3 linked regions of the Saccharomyces cerevisiae S288C genome follow. The gene in region 1 interacts genetically with each later gene. Each region holds a gene or a part of one and is shown on either strand. Other genes may lie near its edges.

What was found.
Region 2: mutations in FAR3 (region 1) and VHS3 together harm fitness more than expected from each alone (negative genetic interaction), as found in Saccharomyces cerevisiae (2 studies listed by BioGRID).
Region 3: mutations in FAR3 (region 1) and WHI3 together harm fitness more than expected from each alone (negative genetic interaction), as found in Saccharomyces cerevisiae (2 studies listed by BioGRID).

The regions. Positions count from the first base shown.
Region 1 is NC_001145.3:375,378-380,700, reverse strand, and holds FAR3 (Far3p), read right to left. Parts: upstream 1,116-5,323; coding exon 501-1,115; downstream 1-500. Other genes in the region: STB2 (Stb2p), read left to right, coding at 1-355; YMR051C (gag protein), read left to right, coding at 2,376-3,698. UniProt on the Saccharomyces cerevisiae protein: Participates in the control of the reentry into the cell cycle following pheromone treatment.
Region 2 is NC_001147.6:426,917-434,116, reverse strand, and holds VHS3 (phosphopantothenoylcysteine decarboxylase complex subunit VHS3), read left to right. Parts: upstream 1-4,259; coding exon 4,260-6,284; downstream 6,285-7,200. Other genes in the region: ASE1 (Ase1p), read left to right, coding at 1-429; co-chaperone SGT1, read right to left, coding at 744-1,931; NOB1 (rRNA-binding endoribonuclease), read left to right, coding at 2,491-3,870; TMC1 (Tmc1p), read left to right, coding at 6,893-7,200. UniProt on the Saccharomyces cerevisiae protein: Component of the phosphopantothenoylcysteine decarboxylase (PPCDC) involved in the coenzyme A synthesis. Acts as an inhibitory subunit of protein phosphatase PPZ1, which is involved in many cellular processes such as G1-S transition or salt tolerance.
Region 3 is NC_001146.8:266,692-273,876, forward strand, and holds WHI3 (mRNA-binding protein WHI3), read right to left. Parts: upstream 2,903-7,185; coding exon 917-2,902; downstream 1-916. Other genes in the region: SLZ1 (Slz1p), read right to left, coding at 3,584-4,480; YNL195C (uncharacterized protein), read right to left, coding at 4,832-5,617; YNL194C (uncharacterized protein), read right to left, coding at 6,019-6,924. UniProt on the Saccharomyces cerevisiae protein: Involved in size control and cell cycle.

The DNA.
Region 1 (5,323 bases):
ATCTAGGTTGAAATATGATATGAGGATATTGGAAGTTCGTGTACGAGATATTGAAAGTAGTGTTGCTCAGTTTGATTCCAAATTAATTGGGTTGAAAAGCTCTCTTCAGGGACAGGGTAAAACTGGAATATGCTCTGCAATAGATCCCAAGAGTGATAAAGACGAATATGATAGATGCGTAAATGATTTGATGACCACTAACAACCCCACCTATGAAGCTCTTTGTTTAAAGATGCTGAGCCGCCGTTATTTTAAAGATTTAAAGAATGATACTGTGGGGTGGTTCAGGTGGTTATTTGGTAATAATTCTTTACACAATAATGCCAGTGAAGACGATAGAGGAATACGAGTATGATTTTTTTCGGTTCATCCTAATTTTTTTTTTTTTTCAAAAGGGATCTAAACATTTATCCGTTGTTATAAGTATATTAAAATATATAAATGCATTCAAAGGTTTGCTATTTCACGTCTGCTTACACTTTTGTTCGATCCATCGTAGGCTATTTCAGTACCTGGTACGTGTCTTGCAGGTATTCCAACTGTTTTTTAAAGCGGCTGTAATCTCTGGAATCTTTAGATATACGATCCCAATCCACTTCCTTCAAAAGTTTTTCAAACTGTTTGATAATTGAATGCAATTTTTTTTTTGTTTCTTCATTTTCTGTCTTCAATGACTCGTAATTTTGTTGAAGACTTTTGTTCCTTTCATCAAGCTTCTCTGATGAAAATGTGGCAATATTTCGTTCTCTTATTGCATTCTGTTCGTCGATAAAATTTTTAATATATGAGAAATGCTCATTTATGTTGTTAATTAGCGCAACAGCCTTTGTATTGAAGTACTCTTGTTTTTCAATCTCGTATATGAGTTTAAAATTTTCGCTGATAAGCTTCTGTGCCTCAGTGGGGGGAGATGCTTTTTGAGATGCATTATCTTTCCATGAATCTGGAATTATGTTTTTGCTCAAATTATCATAAGATATTCCTGACTGTTTGGCAAGGCGCTTTAACAATAGTTCTATTCGATCGGTCTCTTGTCTGTTAGCCCGACACTCTGCACTTAAAGCTTTTGTTAATTGAAGAAGATAATCGAAACTATCACTACCACCGCTATTCATATTTGCAAATCACTATATATACTGCTCTGTGCGAACTTATGATGGAAAAAACGAGCAAGAAGTAATAAATCACGGTTTAACTTTCTTCATTAATCGCCGAATGCTAGCCGGAGCTTTGAATGAACCTTTTATTGTGGTTATATTGTTATACAGGTGTCAATATAAACAATAAAAGTTGAAGCGGTGGCTCAATGGTAGAGCTTTCGACTCCAATTAAATCTTGGAAATTCCACGGAATAAGATTGCAATCGAAGGGTTGCAGGTTCAATTCCTGTCCGTTTCAATTTATTTTTTAGCCCTGTGCTTGAGATTATCGTCGACAATGACCAGCTATAAGCTGGCAAGATTGATGCTCTAAAACGCGGGGAATAAAATAATCAAGATGATTAATTGTTGGGATTCCATTGTTGTTAGAGCCTACAATATTAGGTACACAGAATATACTAGAACTTCTTCTCGAGGATGTAGGAATCGTCAAAAGGGAATCGATAGTTTTACGTAACGATATTACTTTATGTTCTTTCTGTTGGAATGAAGCTATAAAATATCATCTGTTCAGTAGTATTCATGCCACTCGTACATTATCATATACAGTGTAAGAAGATGATCTAAACATTGAGAAACAGTCGTAAAATTTAATGGAAGCAGAAATATAAGGATTGATAATGTACTAGGATAATGAAACATACGAAAGGGAGGGAGAAATAATTGTAATTGTATTATATAGGAGTATCGATTCCAATTTGAGGATTGGTATATCTCTCAGGGGAAATTTTATTATATTCTGTACACATAATAAAATAAAGCCCTTGCGAACAATAGAATCCCAACGGTTATCAAATTATTCACAAATTGATCACTTCCTTTTTATACTTTCCCTCTCGCTTCTTATTACATTATCAATCATTGCATTTCAGCTTCCCCTAAATCTGGTGACTGTTTCTCAATCTTTAGATCACCTTCTGTTGGAATAAAAATCCACTATCGTCTATCAACTAATAGTTATATTATCAATATATTATCATATACGGTGTTAAGATGATGACATAAGTTATGAGAAGCTGTCATCGATGTTAGAGGAAGCTGAAACGCAAGGATTGATAATGTAATAGGATCAATGAATATAAACATATAAAACGGAATGAGGAATAATCGTAATATTAGTATGTAGAAATATAGATTCCATTTTGAGGATTCCTATATCCTCGAGGAGAACTTCTAGTATATTCTGTATACCTAATATTATAGCCTTTATCAACAATGGAATCCCAACAATTATCTAATTACCCACATATATCTCATGGTAGCGCCTGTGCTTCGGTTACTTCTAAGGAAGTCCACACAAATCAAGATCCGTTAGACGTTTCAGCTTCCAAAATTCAAGAATATGATAAGGCTTCCACTAAGGCTAACTCTCAACAGACAACAACACCTGCTTCATCAGCTGTTCCAGAGAACCCCCATCATGCCTCTCCTCAACCTGCTTCAGTACCACCTCCACAGAATGGGCCGTACCCACAGCAGTGCATGATGACCCAAAACCAAGCCAATCCATCTGGTTGGTCATTTTACGGACACCCATCTATGATTCCGTATACACCTTATCAAATGTCGCCTATGTACTTTCCACCTGGGCCACAATCACAGTTTCCGCAGTATCCATCATCAGTTGGAACGCCTCTGAGCACTCCATCACCTGAGTCAGGTAATACATTTACTGATTCATCCTCAGCGGACTCTGATATGACATCCACTAAAAAATATGTCAGACCACCACCAATGTTAACCTCACCTAATGATTTTCCAAATTGGGTTAAAACATACATCAAATTTTTACAAAACTCGAATCTCGGTGGTATTATTCCGACAGTAAACGGAAAACCCGTACGTCAGATCACTGATGATGAACTCACCTTCTTGTATAACACTTTTCAAATATTTGCTCCCTCTCAATTCCTACCTACCTGGGTCAAAGACATCCTATCCGTTGATTATACGGATATCATGAAAATTCTTTCCAAAAGTATTGAAAAAATGCAATCTGATACCCAAGAGGCAAACGACATTGTGACCCTGGCAAATTTGCAATATAATGGCAGTACACCTGCAGATGCATTTGAAACAAAAGTCACAAACATTATCGACAGACTGAACAATAATGGCATTCATATCAATAACAAGGTCGCATGCCAATTAATTATGAGAGGTCTATCTGGCGAATATAAATTTTTACGCTACACACGTCATCGACATCTAAATATGACAGTCGCTGAACTGTTCTTAGATATCCATGCTATTTATGAAGAACAACAGGGATCGAGAAACAGCAAACCTAATTACAGGAGAAATCCGAGTGATGAGAAGAATGATTCTCGCAGCTATACGAATACAACCAAACCCAAAGTTATAGCTCGGAATCCTCAAAAAACAAATAATTCGAAATCGAAAACAGCCAGGGCTCACAATGTATCCACATCTAATAACTCTCCCAGCACGGACAACGATTCCATCAGTAAATCAACTACTGAACCGATTCAATTGAACAATAAGCACGACCTTCATCTTAGGCCAGAAACTTACTGAATCTACAGTAAATCATACTAATCATTCTGATGATGAACTCCCTGGACACCTCCTTCTCGATTCAGGAGCATCACGAACCCTTATAAGATCTGCTCATCACATACACTCAGCATCATCTAATCCTGACATAAACGTAGTTGATGCTCAAAAAAGAAATATACCAATTAACGCTATTGGTGACCTACAATTTCACTTCCAGGACAACACCAAAACATCAATAAAGGTATTGCACACTCCTAACATAGCCTATGACTTACTCAGTTTGAATGAATTGGCTGCAGTAGATATCACAGCATGCTTTACCAAAAACGTCTTAGAACGGTCTGACGGCACTGTACTTGCACCTATCGTAAAATATGGAGACTTTTACTGGGTATCTAAAAAGTACTTGCTTCCATCAAATATCTCCGTACCCACCATCAATAATGTCCATACAAGTGAAAGTACACGCAAATATCCTTATCCTTTCATTCATCGAATGCTTGCGCATGCCAATGCACAGACAATTCGATACTCACTTAAAAATAACACCATCACGTATTTTAACGAATCAGATGTCGACTGGTCTAGTGCTATTGACTATCAATGTCCTGATTGTTTAATCGGCAAAAGCACCAAACACAGACATATCAAAGGTTCACGACTAAAATACCAAAATTCATACGAACCCTTTCAATACCTACATACTGACATATTTGGTCCAGTTCACAACCTACCAAAAAGTGCACCATCCTATTTCATCTCATTTACTGATGAGACAACAAAATTCCGTTGGGTTTATCCATTACACGACCGTCGCGAGGACTCTATCCTCGATGTTTTTACTACGATACTAGCTTTTATTAAGAACCAGTTTCAGGCCAGTGTCTTGGTTATACAAATGGACCGTGGTTCTGAGTATACTAACAGAACTCTCCATAAATTCCTTGAAAAAAATGGTATAACTCCATGCTATACAACCACAGCGGATTCCCGAGCACATGGAGTCGCTGAACGGCTCAACCGTACCTTATTAGATGACTGCCGTACTCAACTGCAATGTAGTGGTTTACCGAACCATTTATGGTTCTCTGCAATCGAATTTTCTACTATTGTGAGAAATTCACTAGCTTCACCTAAAAGCAAAAAATCTGCAAGACAACATGCTGGCTTGGCAGGACTTGATATCAGTACTTTGTTACCTTTCGGTCAACCTGTTATCGTCAATGATCACAACCCTAACTCCAAAATACATCCTCGTGGCATCCCAGGCTACGCTCTACATCCGTCTCGAAACTCTTATGGATATATCATCTATCTTCCATCCTTAAAGAAGACAGTAGATACAACTAACTATGTTATTCTTCAGGGCAAGGAATCCAGATTAGATCAATTCAATTACGACGCACTCACTTTCGATGAAGACTTAAACCGTTTAACTGCTTCATATCAATCGTTCATTGCGTCAAATGAGATCCAACAATCCGATGATCTTAACATAGAATCTGACCATGACTTCCAATCTGACATCGAACTACATCCTGAGCAACCGAGAAATGTCCTTTCAAAAGCTGTGAGTCCAACCGATTCCACACCTCCGTCAACTCATACTGAAGATTCGAAACGTGTTTCTAAAACCAATATTC
Region 2 (7,200 bases), on another chromosome or scaffold:
TCATCGCCTAGGATAAATCATACGCATGGCGAACATGCAGTAAAACCACGCCAATTGTTTCCTATCCCGCTGAACAAAGTCGACACTAAGGGTAGTCATATCCCTCAATTAACTAAAGAAAAGGCTTTAGAACTTCTTAAAAGGTCGACTGGCACCACGGGTAAGGAGAATGTACGAAGCCCGGAACGCAAAAGCTCATTAGAAGATTACGCACAAAAATTGAGCAGTCCTTATAAAGAACCTGAGCACAGCATATATAAACTTTCCATGTCGCCAGAAGGTAAATTTCAATTAAACATTCAACAAAAAGATATTGAAAGCGGATTTGATGATACCAGTATGATGGAAGATGAAAATGATAAGGATTTTATTACATGGAAAAATGAGCAAGTTTCGAAATTGAATGGATTCTCCTTTACAGATATTTGAATTTCTTAAAAGCGCATTCATTTAACCCTCTGATCTCTTATTTATTTTTTTTGTGGTTTTTTTTTTCACATCACTTTCTAGCCTTCGCTACATTGTCTCTTTCTTTCCTTCTTTTATTCTATCATTCTCCCTTTCCTTTTTCCATTGCACCGTGACTCTGGATTAATATGGACATAATAAAATTTGTAATATTCAATATAATCATGTAAGCATTCCAAGTAAATACGCAGGTTGGCTAGTCTAAATCGAAAATGTAACATTACTACCATACTATATATCTACATATTGTAATTGTGTAGGTATATACTAATCATTTACCAATGTTTAGGTTCCATGCCTTCTGGTGGTGAAGTTTTAACCGTTCCCTTAGATACGTCTTCCCAGTCTGTACTCAATGCAGTACCATTACTTTCTATAAAGGATTTCATCATAGCCCTTTTGGTATCTGGATCCGCTCCAGCGTAAAGCTTTTGAAAGAAACTATCAGCCGATCCCGCTTCTTCATCAGCTTCTTCATCAATGTCAAGTTTAGACCAATCTATTTTTTTTTTAGAGGACGATGGATAAGACAATCTCTCTTTTGATGCCGTTTCTGCTGATAATAAGCGGGTTGCAGAATCAGAATTTTTACCCTCATCTGATAACCTTGAGGATTCCGTTAAAATATCTTCTTCCAACTTCTTCCATTGCGTGCTATCAATTTTGCTCAAGGTAATTTCCAGCTTTTTTGGGAAAATTTTTAATGACACTGCTTTTGGATCCACCTCATGCGAAAGCTTAGCGTTGTATTGAAATTCAGATCCAGATTTCGGTACTTGGTACGATATCGATAAAGTTCTTCTATCGTTTGGAGAAATATATATATTGACTTGTTCCTTAGACTCAGGAAGATTAACAGTAAATAATGATATAGTGACAGAGGTGCTGGATTGATACCAATCGATTTTAAATTTAGGGGATTCTTGAGGAGCGGTTTCAATTTTGAGAGGTGAAATGGGACTATGAGAAGAATTATTATCTCCTCTGTTTTCAATACTTTCCACTGGTTTAATTGTATGCTTATTAGTTGAATCCTTCTGCTTTTTATTTTTTTTATTCAATTTTGTCTCCAGACGATCTTCCCATAAAGGCAAAGTGTCATCAACGTAACCAAGATTCTTGGCTTTTTTAAAATAAGATTGGGCCAGTTCATAATCTTTGATATTGAAGAAATGAACAAAATAACGAAAGTTAACAAGACCAATCTTCGATCTATCGCCCCTACCCTCAGCTGTCATTAGAGCCTTGTCAAGAAGTTCCTTTGCGTTTTCCATAGTTGCATCGCTGTGCCAATCAGAAAACCCAAAGTATAGCTTTTCAAGACATGCTGCCTTAAAAATGAGAGCCGTTAAATTTGTGGGTGAGCCTTTGAGAATTTCATCATAAAGATGGAGGGCCTTCAGTGGTTCCTTCTCATCATACAAAGCTTTGTAGGCAGTTTTTAAATCTTTTTCAACAGGCATTTCTTTTTCGTTTCCTTAAAACAACTACCTCTTTAACCTTAAAAGACTTCTGCCATTACTTTGTCATAGTGCTTTCGTTCAATTATTAGCGTTCAAAGATATATCGCATATGATCAACTCATCTTGAGACCTTACACCCTAAAGTGCTTATATTGGCTTCGTTTATAGTGATCAAAGTCATCAATATAGTGCTCGTCAGTGTAAGACTGAGAAGATCATTCTTAAAAGAATTAGCAGATGATGCATAAGCACTATGGCGGTATTATCTACTATCATTTCTCTTGTATCTGTGCTGAGCCTGGTTCTATTGAAGAAGAATTCAAAATTTGAATGTCTCAATAGAAAAACCCGGACATTCCATAATGCAAGATCAAAATTTTTCGATGAGCTTTGTTTTGCATTGGCAAATTTTTACCTGCTAAGAAGAAGTCTACATGGAGAAACAGCACCATTATCTCAAGTATGTTCTTAACATAGAGGTCGTTCAGTCAGCGCTAGATAAATCTCATCGGCGATCATAGTTCAGTATTTTTCTAAAGTTTCTTTAAAGGAGCATAATATGACCGAAAACCAAACCGCACATGTAAGGGCGTTGATATTGGATGCCACCCCATTAATTACGCAGTCCTACACACATTACCAGAATTATGCACAGTCTTTTTATACTACTCCCACAGTTTTTCAAGAAATTAAGGATGCTCAAGCAAGGAAAAACCTTGAAATTTGGCAGAGCCTCGGAACTTTGAAATTAGTACATCCAAGTGAAAACTCGATAGCCAAAGTAAGTACGTTCGCCAAATTGACCGGTGACTACTCCGTACTGAGTGCCAATGATTTGCATATTCTTGCTTTGACATACGAGTTAGAAATTAAACTAAATAATGGCGATTGGAGACTGAGGAAAAAACCAGGTGATGCATTAGATGCGTCCAAGGCTGACGTTGGTACGGACGGCAAACAGAAGCTCACAGAAGATAATAAAAAGGAGGAGGACTCTGAAAGTGTTCCAAAAAAAAAGAACAAGAGAAGAGGTGGAAAAAAGCAAAAGGCAAAAAGAGAAGCAAGAGAAGCAAGAGAAGCTGAAAATGCAAACCTTGAGCTAGAGAGTAAAGCTGAGGAACATGTTGAGGAGGCTGGATCCAAAGAGCAGATATGTAATGATGAAAATATAAAGGAATCTTCCGATTTAAATGAAGTATTCGAGGATGCTGATGATGATGGTGATTGGATTACCCCCGAGAACTTAACAGAAGCAATTATTAAGGATAGTGGTGAAGATACCACTGGTTCATTGGGTGTAGAAGCGTCCGAAGAGGATCGCCATGTCGCATTGAATCGACCAGAGAATCAGGTGGCATTGGCGACTGGCGATTTTGCCGTCCAAAATGTAGCGTTGCAGATGAATCTAAATCTAATGAATTTCATGTCAGGTCTGAAAATCAAGCGAATCCGTAATTATATGCTAAGATGCCACGCCTGTTTCAAAATATTTCCTCTACCAAAAGACGGCAAGCCAAAGCACTTCTGTGCCTCATGCGGTGGACAGGGTACCTTATTAAGATGCGCAGTTTCCGTTGACTCACGCACGGGGAACGTTACACCGCACTTGAAGTCGAACTTCCAATGGAACAATAGAGGAAACAGATATTCTGTAGCCAGCCCCTTATCTAAGAACTCCCAAAAAAGGTACGGCAAAAAGGGACACGTACATTCTAAACCACAGGAAAATGTGATTCTCAGAGAAGATCAAAAGGAGTACGAAAAGGTGATAAAGCAAGAAGAATGGACAAGAAGACACAACGAGAAGATTCTAAACAATTGGATTGGTGGCGGTTCTGCGGATAACTATATTTCTCCATTTGCAATTACTGGGTTGAAGCAGCATAACGTCCGCATTGGTAAGGGAAGGTACGTCAACAGTTCCAAAAGGAGAAGTTAGTGTTTTTCATAAATATCTGTGTAGTGTGTACTAGTTGGCAGCTGCCCTTTTTCTTTTTCTTTTTTTTTTTTTTTTTTTTTTTTTTTTCACGTGGTTTTTCTATGACGTTTTCCAAAACAAGCGTGTCATGTGAGCTTTTTTGCCCTTTAACTTTCTGGTTGGAGAGTCCAAAAGACCGAAAAGGTAAGAAAACGTTTTATTGCTCAGTATGCCCTCCCCTTATGAGATGAATGGTGTTACAGCACTTTGAAGAGGGCTCGTTTTGAGGACTTTTTGATCAGGATTAATACTAGATTGCCAAAAAAAGGATAGCCTTTTATAAGATTACTTTAGTTCAAAGAAGAGACCAGAAAGAGGAATACTGGCCATAATTATAGTGCAGAGACGCAATGACAAACAAATCTAGCCTGAAGAACAATAGGAAAGGGGTTGCTTCGAATACTCTCTCTGGAGCTGAGCAGGCCAATATAGGTTCATCGGCAATGCCTGACACAAATTCTACGGGACCATTTTCTTCCGTTTCTAGTCTGGACACTCCTGTAGTAAGGAAATCAACTAGTCCCACTGGTTCACAAACTAAGTCAATCATGAATGCTAGCGGAACTTCTGGGGCAGTTGTAAGTAATACACCAGAGCCAGGGTTAAAAAGGATACCAACTGTTACATTCAGCGATCCAAAGTTGGGTAGTCTCAGGTCGGATGTGGAGCAAACTCCACCTAACCAGGTGGCCAGACAGTCCAGCGAAAAGAAAGCAACGTCTGTACACATCGCAGCGGAGGGTGCAAATCAAGGAAGAAACTTGAAAGACATAAATACAAAAGTACCAAAAGATGGCGAGGCTTCTGCTTCTTCTTTTTCGACTCCAACCTCTATTCTCTCCAATGCTGATATGGGGAATAACATATCCAGCCTGCTGGCTAAAAAGCTAAGTTTCACCGGTGGAACAGATTCTATTTTAAACTCTGACAATAGTTCCGATAGCCCCAGAAAGGAGCACCCACATTTCTACGTGGAAGATCCTTTACACACCCCATCAGTTAGATCAAGGTCTAACAGTACTAGTCCTCGCCCCTCTGTGGTAGTGAATACATTTAACCCCATCAACATTGAACGAGAGGGCTCCATATCAAAGACTGGAGAGCCCACATTGTTGGAGTCTGTCTTGGAAGAAGCAATGTCTCCCAATGCAGTCTCAAATCCCTTGAAGAGAGAAAATATTATGACCAATATGGATCCAAGGCTTCCCCAAGATGACGGCAAGCTACACGTTCTTTTTGGGGCAACAGGTTCTTTGTCTGTTTTCAAACTCAAGCACATGATCAGAAAATTAGAAGAAATTTACGGAAGGGACAAAATATGCATACAAGTTATACTAACTAACTCAGCAACCAAATTTTTTGCAATGAAGTATATGAGGAAAAATAAGAAACAACACAATAGTATCGATACTTCTTTCAACAGCACCAATTCTAATGCTGGCAATATAACTGGTAACAAGAAAAAAGTAGCCTCTCTTGAAAAATTTAGCATTCAGAAGACGTCTTCAAACTCAGCGGCTTCTCAGACAAATAATAAACAGGAGGAAGAAAAACAAATGGCCTCTACTACTGGATTTCCTTCGACACTTGGTGGTAGTCGTACGTACAGCAACTCTTCAAACGTTGTATCGCAACATCCTCAAATTGAACTGCCAGCACATATACAATTTTGGACAGACCAAGACGAGTGGGATGTATGGCGACAACGAACTGATCCTGTATTACACATAGAACTACGTCGTTGGGCAGATATACTAGTTGTCGCACCATTAACCGCAAACACGTTGGCCAAGATTGCCCTTGGTTTATGTGACAACCTTTTGACAAGTGTAATAAGGGCATGGAATCCAACGTTTCCCATATTCCTAGCGCCTTCAATGGGTAGCGGTACGTTCAATTCCATAATGACTAAAAAACATTTTCGAATTATTCAAGAAGAGATGCCTTGGGTAACTGTATTTAAACCCTCAGAAAAAGTCATGGGCATAAACGGTGACATCGGGTTAAGTGGGATGATGGATGCAAATGAGATTGTTGGCAAGATAGTCGTCAAACTAGGTGGTTATCCCGATGTTTCTGCGGGAAAGGAAGAAGAAGAGGATGAAGATAACGATGAGGAGGATGATAATAAGAAGAACGATACTGGTGGTAAAGATGAAGATAATGACGACGACGACGATGACGATGATGATGATGACGATGATGACGACGACGACGACGACGACGACGACGACGACGACGACGATGATGATGATGACGACGATGATGACGACGATGATGACGACGACGACGACGACGATGAAGATGACGAAGACGAAGATGAAGACGATGAAGGAAAAAAGAAAGAAGATAAAGGAGGGCTACAGCGATCTTAAATAGGACTAATTTCATTATTGTAAAACTTTTGAACTATATATATCTTTACATAGAATAAATTTGCATTAATCACTGATAACCAGAAGAGAAGGCTAAAAATAGGCAAGTAGGACACTTAACTCATTTTCCAAAGGGAGTTTTATGTCTCATAGTTAGCGCTTACGATGCTGCGGAGGTGCGTCGTCACTCTATCGGATGTTCATTCTGAGGGAAAGGGAGTGGTTCAAATCCGATTTAACCTTGCCAGCTTATCGCAAAGCGGGTGAGATCAAATGCTCCACAGCTCTGCGGTTCGTTTCACCTTTCTGTTTTCTGCGAGCTTCGGCCCTGTCAGGGAAAAAAAGAAAGAAGGGGGCGGTGGCAAAGACTGCATCGGCCCAGAAGCAAAGAAGATATAAAAGGGAAATACTTGCCACCGAAGTCTTAGACTTTGCATAAGAGATATTCTCGCCTTTCCCGCTTGAAGAGTTCCTGACTCTATCATACATCTTGGATAAAAGGATCAAGCAGCCTATCCGCTAAACCGCTATTTATTCTGCTTTACTGATTCATTTACATCAAGTGAAGCACAAAACTATCAAAATCACCAAAAGAATAGAAACTAAAAATGTCTGATATAAACGAAATCGAAATTCCATCCAGAAAGGATGAAATTAGACAAGTTACTCCCAAGGATCCCATGCATGAGATCGAGGATAAAAGCACATACCACGCTAAGATAAAGAAATCAGATTCCGGGACCGTCCTGGGTGCTATACCGTTGAATTCAAGGTCTTCTAGTAACTCTAGCGTGACATCGACGGGTCAGAGCAGTAGGCGGGTGACTAAGAAAACGACCAAGAAGAAAAAGAAGAATGCTTGTTATTTCGATACCTGTTCAAGTGCGGCTTCGAAATTCATCGGTGACTGTAATTT
Region 3 (7,185 bases), on another chromosome or scaffold:
CAACTATCGCAGAAGTCGCGGTACTTGAAGGAGAAAAGTCGTGAAAATTTTATTTTGGACAAATTGTCCAAGAAAAATAAGAAATATGACGTTATTACCCGTATTGAGATTCCATTGAAAGACATTCATAAAATTGATCAGTTCGGTCATAAACAAAGTAGAACTTCGAAATATCAAATATGTTCTTGCCACTGGTAGCCCATATTTTTTTAATCTGCTCTTGTAGCATAGGGTTGAAAATATTACATTGAAGTCGATACCGATATATACTTCTATAAAAATGAGTTCTGGAATAAAAGTAAGGCTAATACATATATATAGTGGGAGAATATCCAAAGGCAGAGTTTTTTAAACAAGGAAAGAATAAAAGTTGGCAGCATAAAAAAAAGATATTCTCTCTTCAAAACATTTGTCGGATATGACCTCACCTAAGCACTTGGTGCTTTGATGACAATAATCACACTAAAGAGCGATATTCGATAGTGAGACTTTTCCCTCTCAATCTTATTCACATTAGCGCAAGCAAAATGGAATGAATGGCACATTAAAATTGAAAATAAAAGTTCTTGTTGTTGCAGAAGCGGTATAGGAGTTCGCAAAATGGTAGTTAAGAAAAAAGATGGCGGGTTTAATTCATAGTACAATTCAAATGTTAGACAGAAAAAGAAAAAATTTCTGTTATATGCACGTTGTAATGTAATAGTAAAAAGATAATTTAACGTAATTGAAGAGATAAAGTATTATCGATGTTATTCTTATTATTAGTCGGTTTAGAAAATATTATTATAACAAATAATAAAAGAAAAAGAAAAAATGCGACAGAAAATATTATTCTTATTATAGTGGGGGAAAGATGAAAAGCAATGCATATAATGTGATACATGCAAGGAAATCAGGTTTTTGCGGAACCATTTTTTTAGTTTTTTATATGACCAACATTAGAATTGTAACTGGAAAGCATATTTACATTAGGATTTGGGTTACCACTGCCTCCTCTTCTGCTGTTTGGGCCCCTAACACCCAGTGGGTTTTTTGAAAAGCTTAATCTGATACCTCCCTTACTGCTCACAGTGGAGCGAGGTAACTGTCTACCATACAATTCAGCTAACGCTCTGGTTGCAAAACTGACATCATCGAATTCAACGAAGCACATCGGTCCGTGACTATGACCATTAGATGTGGTATTCTTATTCCTGAATGATAGTCTTCTGAAGCCTTCTTGACCAGAAAATAGCTGTCTTAGTTCTTGCTCAGTAGCGTCGGAGGGTAAATTCCCTACATAAAGGGTATTACAAGGTGGATTTTGATCAGCAGGGTTGGCAGGAGGTGGAATTCTGGCTAGTAGTGACAAATCAGCCTGAGAAATCGAGGCAGATCCAGTAATATTTGAGGATAATGAGGTAGTAGAGTTATTCTTGTGTGAATTTCTACTTGAACTTAATCTTGCGGGCGGTACTTTTTGAGGAGTGTTACTTTGATTCACAGGATACATATGCTCTGGTTGGGGTTGTTGCATAAATCTGTTCTGTTTTTGAGGTGTAATGTTCATATCAGAGGTGTTTACCATATTTGAAATGTGCTGCGATTGAGAAGACATTAAACCGTATGGAGGCAATGAATTTGAAGAGGTTAGGGAAGTGTTAATCGTGTTACCAATTTGCATCATTGGTTGTTGCGAGCTGGCAGAGAGTGCCTGGTTAGCACCATTATTGCTGGCTCCATTGTTGGAGCTGGCGTTTGCATTGGCACTGGTGTTGCTATTCGTAGGTGCAATGGCTGTCGATGCTGCAGAGGGTAAAAAGAACGAAGAACCATGTTGGGATGCAGAAGTATTTCCCCATTCTAAAGTTGGCGTAGAAGGTTGGGGAGTGCTCATGTAACCGTTGATGCTGGAAGGTATACCGCTTGTGCCCCATATCTTTTCATTAATTTCAGTGTTATCTCTCAAAAGGAAAGATTTGCCAATATCAGATGTTTGAATTGTTGATTCCACAGACAAATCTTGATGTGAATGGTTAGAATGTAACCCAATAACCTGGCCTTGAGAAGATAACGGTATTGAAGAATTCACTTGTTGTTGATTACATTGTTGTGGTGAATGTTTTTGCGTAGAGTGTTGTTGTGGCTGTTGTGGCTGTTGCTGCTGCTGTTGAGATTGCTGTTGGCTTAAAGGAGAATCATTGGAAAATGGATCGCTGAATGAAAACCTGGATCTTTGTGATAACAGACTTGGCCTTTTCATTCCCGAGTTCGATTTATTCAATCTTGAGGTGTCATTGAAAATGGCAGATGATGGGAATGAAACCAAGTTTTTTGTTGTGTCATCTATTATTTCAACGGTTGTTTTATTGGGAAAACTGGGTCCAAAGAGTTCATTTTTCGAATTCAAAATAACGGCATAATTAATAGCTAGATTCAATAACTCAAATCTGGCAATGATAAAAATATCATTCTCGTCTTCTAATGAGGCAGAAGTGATGCTTGATGAAGAGTTTTTTTTCTGTAATTCTATACTTTTCACACCTTCAGCAAGAGCGAAGATTGCATAGCATTCTCTGAGAGTAATATCCTTGGCTACATTTGACAATTTTAGGCTGTAGCTCCCCTTAATGTTGTTATCGTGATTGCTAATGTTGCTGCTTGCAATGTCTTGGGGCATACTTCCAAGGGCAAGTGTGTTTAGCATAGAAGATATCGCTAAGGGTGAGTTTGTGTCATTCAAATACAACTCCCCACTTGCGCTTCCTCTACCCGACGCTTCGTGGGGATGAGAAGTAGTGTTCAGATTCAAACTGGAACGATGACTGGGAGAAATGTTGTGTGTGTTGGTGGTACTAGACACAACGTTGTCGCTACTGGACGCAAATGACCCTGTTTGGTCAAAATAAACTGAACTTTGCATGCTAAGAGATACAGGTTTTTCCCTCTGAAATATTGATCGATAAAGGCTGCTCTAGGTAAGTGACGCTTACAAATATTTGCAACTCACAGAAAAGTGATGACAAAGACTTTTAACTTGAAATGATATGATCAGTTGAGAAAAAGCTGGTGAAGCAAATGAAAAATACGGGAAGAAAACAGGAACAGAAGGTTTTCAAAGTACACGACTTATTTTCTCTTTAATGCTAATTGATTGAATAAAGAGAAGACAGAAAGGAAACTGACACGTAAAATATGTGGACGGAATAAACAACTGTGCGTGAGCAGCGTTTCAAAAGCCTTTTCTTTTTGGAGGTCTGTGCTTGTTTAAAGAAGGCAATTCAATCAGGTGGTTATACTTGTTTATTCCGGCTTACTTGGTCGTGTTTGTTTTTTCTTTTGACCTCTCATGTCCGAAAAGGTCCAAAACAACGAGAAAAAAAAGCAGCAATCAGTTACCCCATTTAACGCGGGTAACAATAACGATTGTTCTAAATAGAGCAGATATCCAATAGTTGAGAACATGAAGAAGGATGGCGATAGAATCAGTGCGAAGCAGTCTAAAGAAGTTCCTTTCCCTTTCCTTTCCTTTTATTTTGCTAATAGTATTTGATATAAAGATGAAATACTATAAGAAGTTTATAAATTTTTTAAATTAGAAAAGCTAAATAGCAGCTTGATCGCAACAAGTGGGGAATTCTGACCAGCGCGACGCTTGTTGCATGGTTATTCCTGCATCTGGGACTGGTTTTTCATCCATACACAATCTTTCAAGCCCGATGGTGACATTTTTGACCTTGTTTGAGTATTCCATCTCTTGCTGCAGTAGCTTTTTACCTCTCTCATGCAGACCATTAGATGATGCAGATATGTTAAGATCTTCGGTAATTAGCGCTACTGAATTGAAGGAGGTTATGTCGTTGTAGTTGATATTATATTTGGGATCAGGAACTGATGAGACCGTAGTCGCATTACTGGTCGTGCTGCAGTTTGACCAGCGTCGTTCCCAGGAGGTGAACTCCATGTCTTGAAGGACAAACTGACTATCTTTCGAGACGTCGAGGACGTTATCATTGAAAAGTTCCGTGAGTTGGACATTAAGAGGACTAGATGTTTGAATAGCCTGATCTATCATGATCTTGGACACGGTTTGATGGTCTATGTCAAAATCTAGTCCAGTCTGTGGTTTAGGTTTACCATTTTCAGCTGCTGTGTTCTGATTAATGGCTTCTGAATTCGGTTCTTTGAAACGAAATTCTTTTGCCAGTGATAATTTTTTCTGTTCTTTTAGCCTTTTGTCTTCTCTTTTGTAGTTTTCTTTTTCTACTTCTTTTGGCTTCTCTCTATCTTTTCTACTTGTATTTTTTTTTTTGTTTTTAGCCATTTTATCTAAGAACTTTTTCCTTTCTTCACCAAAAGCTCTCATTTTATCCTTTTCCCTCTTAGTATCTATTTGATCAACATTTCCACCTTTTGATTTATTTTTCTTTACTTGTCGATCTTTTGGTAGTTTCACTTCGTACTTTTTGTAACCGATGATTTGATCTACTTTATTCATCATAACAGTAATATATTATGTTTTTGATTTTTACTATACTGATTAAGGTAGAAAATGGGACGATCTTGCTTTTTGTGTCCTTTCATTGAAGCACTGTTATTTATACGGTCAACTGCAGCCGGGCATAATTTCGGCGGCTATTCATATTGTCATCCCCGCACTCCTTCTTTGACAGCACGCAAGCACATGGAGGCTGATAATGCCCTCCCATATTGTAATAGAATATATTTATGCAATAAAGAGAACGCAATAGCTGCATTTAACCAATAAAAAATTCGTTATGACAATAATATGTAGACAAGGATATAAAAGTATAAGGTTGGTTATAAATAAAAACTGTAGGAAAAACAAAAACTACTTATGCAAGACCTTATTCTCAGGGTGCGAAATACTATGATCAGTAGCGTTTAGAACGTTAGCCGAAGGATTAGTCTCATCCATAATTTGGTTTCTTGGGACATTGTGCCGATCACCCACACCGTAGGCGTAGGTTTCCTTTTCCTCAGTTTCCTGATTGAATGATGGAATACTTGCGGGATATCCCTGCACTTTAGTGGTGTAAGAAGAAGCAGAGACGCCGCTATTTTCTTCTCTCATCATTTTCTCATTGTACCTGTCTGAGGAAGCCGTTTGGGGGTCCATCATGTCTTGGTTGTTATTATCGGCACGGCGAGAAGAAACGCTGTTCCACGCGTCGATGTGATGAGGTTGACTTTGAGGTGAACCTGCACCGGGAACATGTTGGTCGATAGGCCCATTGAAGTGCGGATCAGAGGTGTCTTGACAACCAATCGGCACGTTCTTGCTGTTCATTCTTGCCTCGGTCATTTTACTACTATCAAAATTGGCTAGCGTAGACCTAGCGTTTTTGTTATAGTCACTGACCACTCTATTTGTGACTTTGCCACATCCCGGGATACCGATGCTACCGGCACCGGTGTTTAAAGTAGGGCCTGGGCATTCAGTTGGTAAAATTCCAGAGCGCTGTTCGTGAGACGAAGAGTGTCCGTCACGATGAGGATATTTGAGGTCGCTTGCCCTGCCACACCCTGGAACGCTGTACGTTTTATCCTTTGCCTGGTTCATATTGAGAGCATCATCACTTGCATATGCTTGAGCAGATTGGCCCAAACCCAGCATCCTGTCATAAGATTTGTCAATATGGTAGCCGAAGCCGTGCTGTGTAGCAGAAGACTCTTGGTTTGTGTCTAATTCATTGCTGTCGAAATAGTGAAAAGAAAAGAAAAAGAGTTAGTAAGATGTGTATGATACATTAAAAGGAAGTTAAAATACGATTTCTTTTTATTAGATGGTATCATTACATTGTTTGACGTATAGTATTAGTATTATTAGAGGTTGAGAATTAAAGATATTATATTTAGGGAAACATAAAAGATTAGTGGAATATCGGTGCAAAATATTAGTAATAAATAAAATTGGTATCAACAGAGAATAGGAGAAGGCTAATCGCTGCAATTAGGTTTGTTATTATTTGTAATCCTAGCTTTAATAATAAGGGAAAAAAAAGCCTCCTTTGCACCCTATGATACAACAGGAACATTCTGTTCAGTATAGACGCGTTCCTCTTGAACCCGGTCTGGTTCATCGCCTGCGCTAGTCACAGTTCTCTTTTTCGTTCTCAATTTCTTAAAGAACCTATGATTCTGGTGGGATTGAGATTGTTGGACCTCAGTTACAGGCACCGAGGAAGGTATTCCTCCATTTGTTGGAACTGGAGTTGGAGTTTGTGAGTCCACTGTCTTGGTAGAAGCGAAACTGCGGTCATAGATGTACTCGTTTCTTTTATGAGTAGCCACCATGATAGTACAGCAAATGGCGTTTACAATTAACAAAAATACTGTGGTCCAAATAAGCCCAAAATTCTTGGGACCTAGTCTAGCATCACGATTCTCATGGTGAAACGCCTTTACTGCCTTAGCGTAACATCCTGTGTACAGACAAGCGGATAGGGTTATGAAGAAAAGCGTGATCCAGCTCATTGCAGTTGCCAGAGCGGCGGTACGTCTATTGTATCTGATTAAACTGGCAATAACCGAAACTAACGTGATTAACAAAAAGAAAAGCCCGATTAGAAGCATTGCCCAGCCCACTCTTGAAAGATAATAGTAGGCATTTCTGTTGTTTAAAAAAGTTGAGGGCATGAGGGGGGAACTGCCAAAGTTGTCCCTTGGTGAAAACGGCTGAGCTGCCATCTTAGAAGAGCAGTTGACTGCTATTCCGCGGCTTTCCCAGCCGCACCAGTTATAATTGTACCATCTGGTTACGGAGGGCGCCGAGTTAAAGCCCGAAGTGGATGCCTGAAACCAATAAAAATTCTTCAACACTCCTGTGGTCCTGCCACCTGCTAGTATCAGAAAAAAAGTCAACAATGTAGCCCCTAGTAGAAAGAAAAGGTTAATAAAGTACACAAACTTTTTGTAGGACATTGATTATTAGAAACGGAAATATATGAGGTTATACTTAATGCTTATCGTGATCGCAATACAAGTAATTGTTTATGGTTGTTTGAAAACCCTAGAAAAGTGGCTAATTTCGGATAAGAATTACAGATAGGATCTCTAACATAATATAAGTTGTTAGGGTATTTAGCTAATGTTTTTATATCGAAAGCAGGGGATAACAGCGGAGACAGAAAACAGGGAATAGTGATCTCATCTTTCCATCCGTTCATCCCACTTTTACGTCCT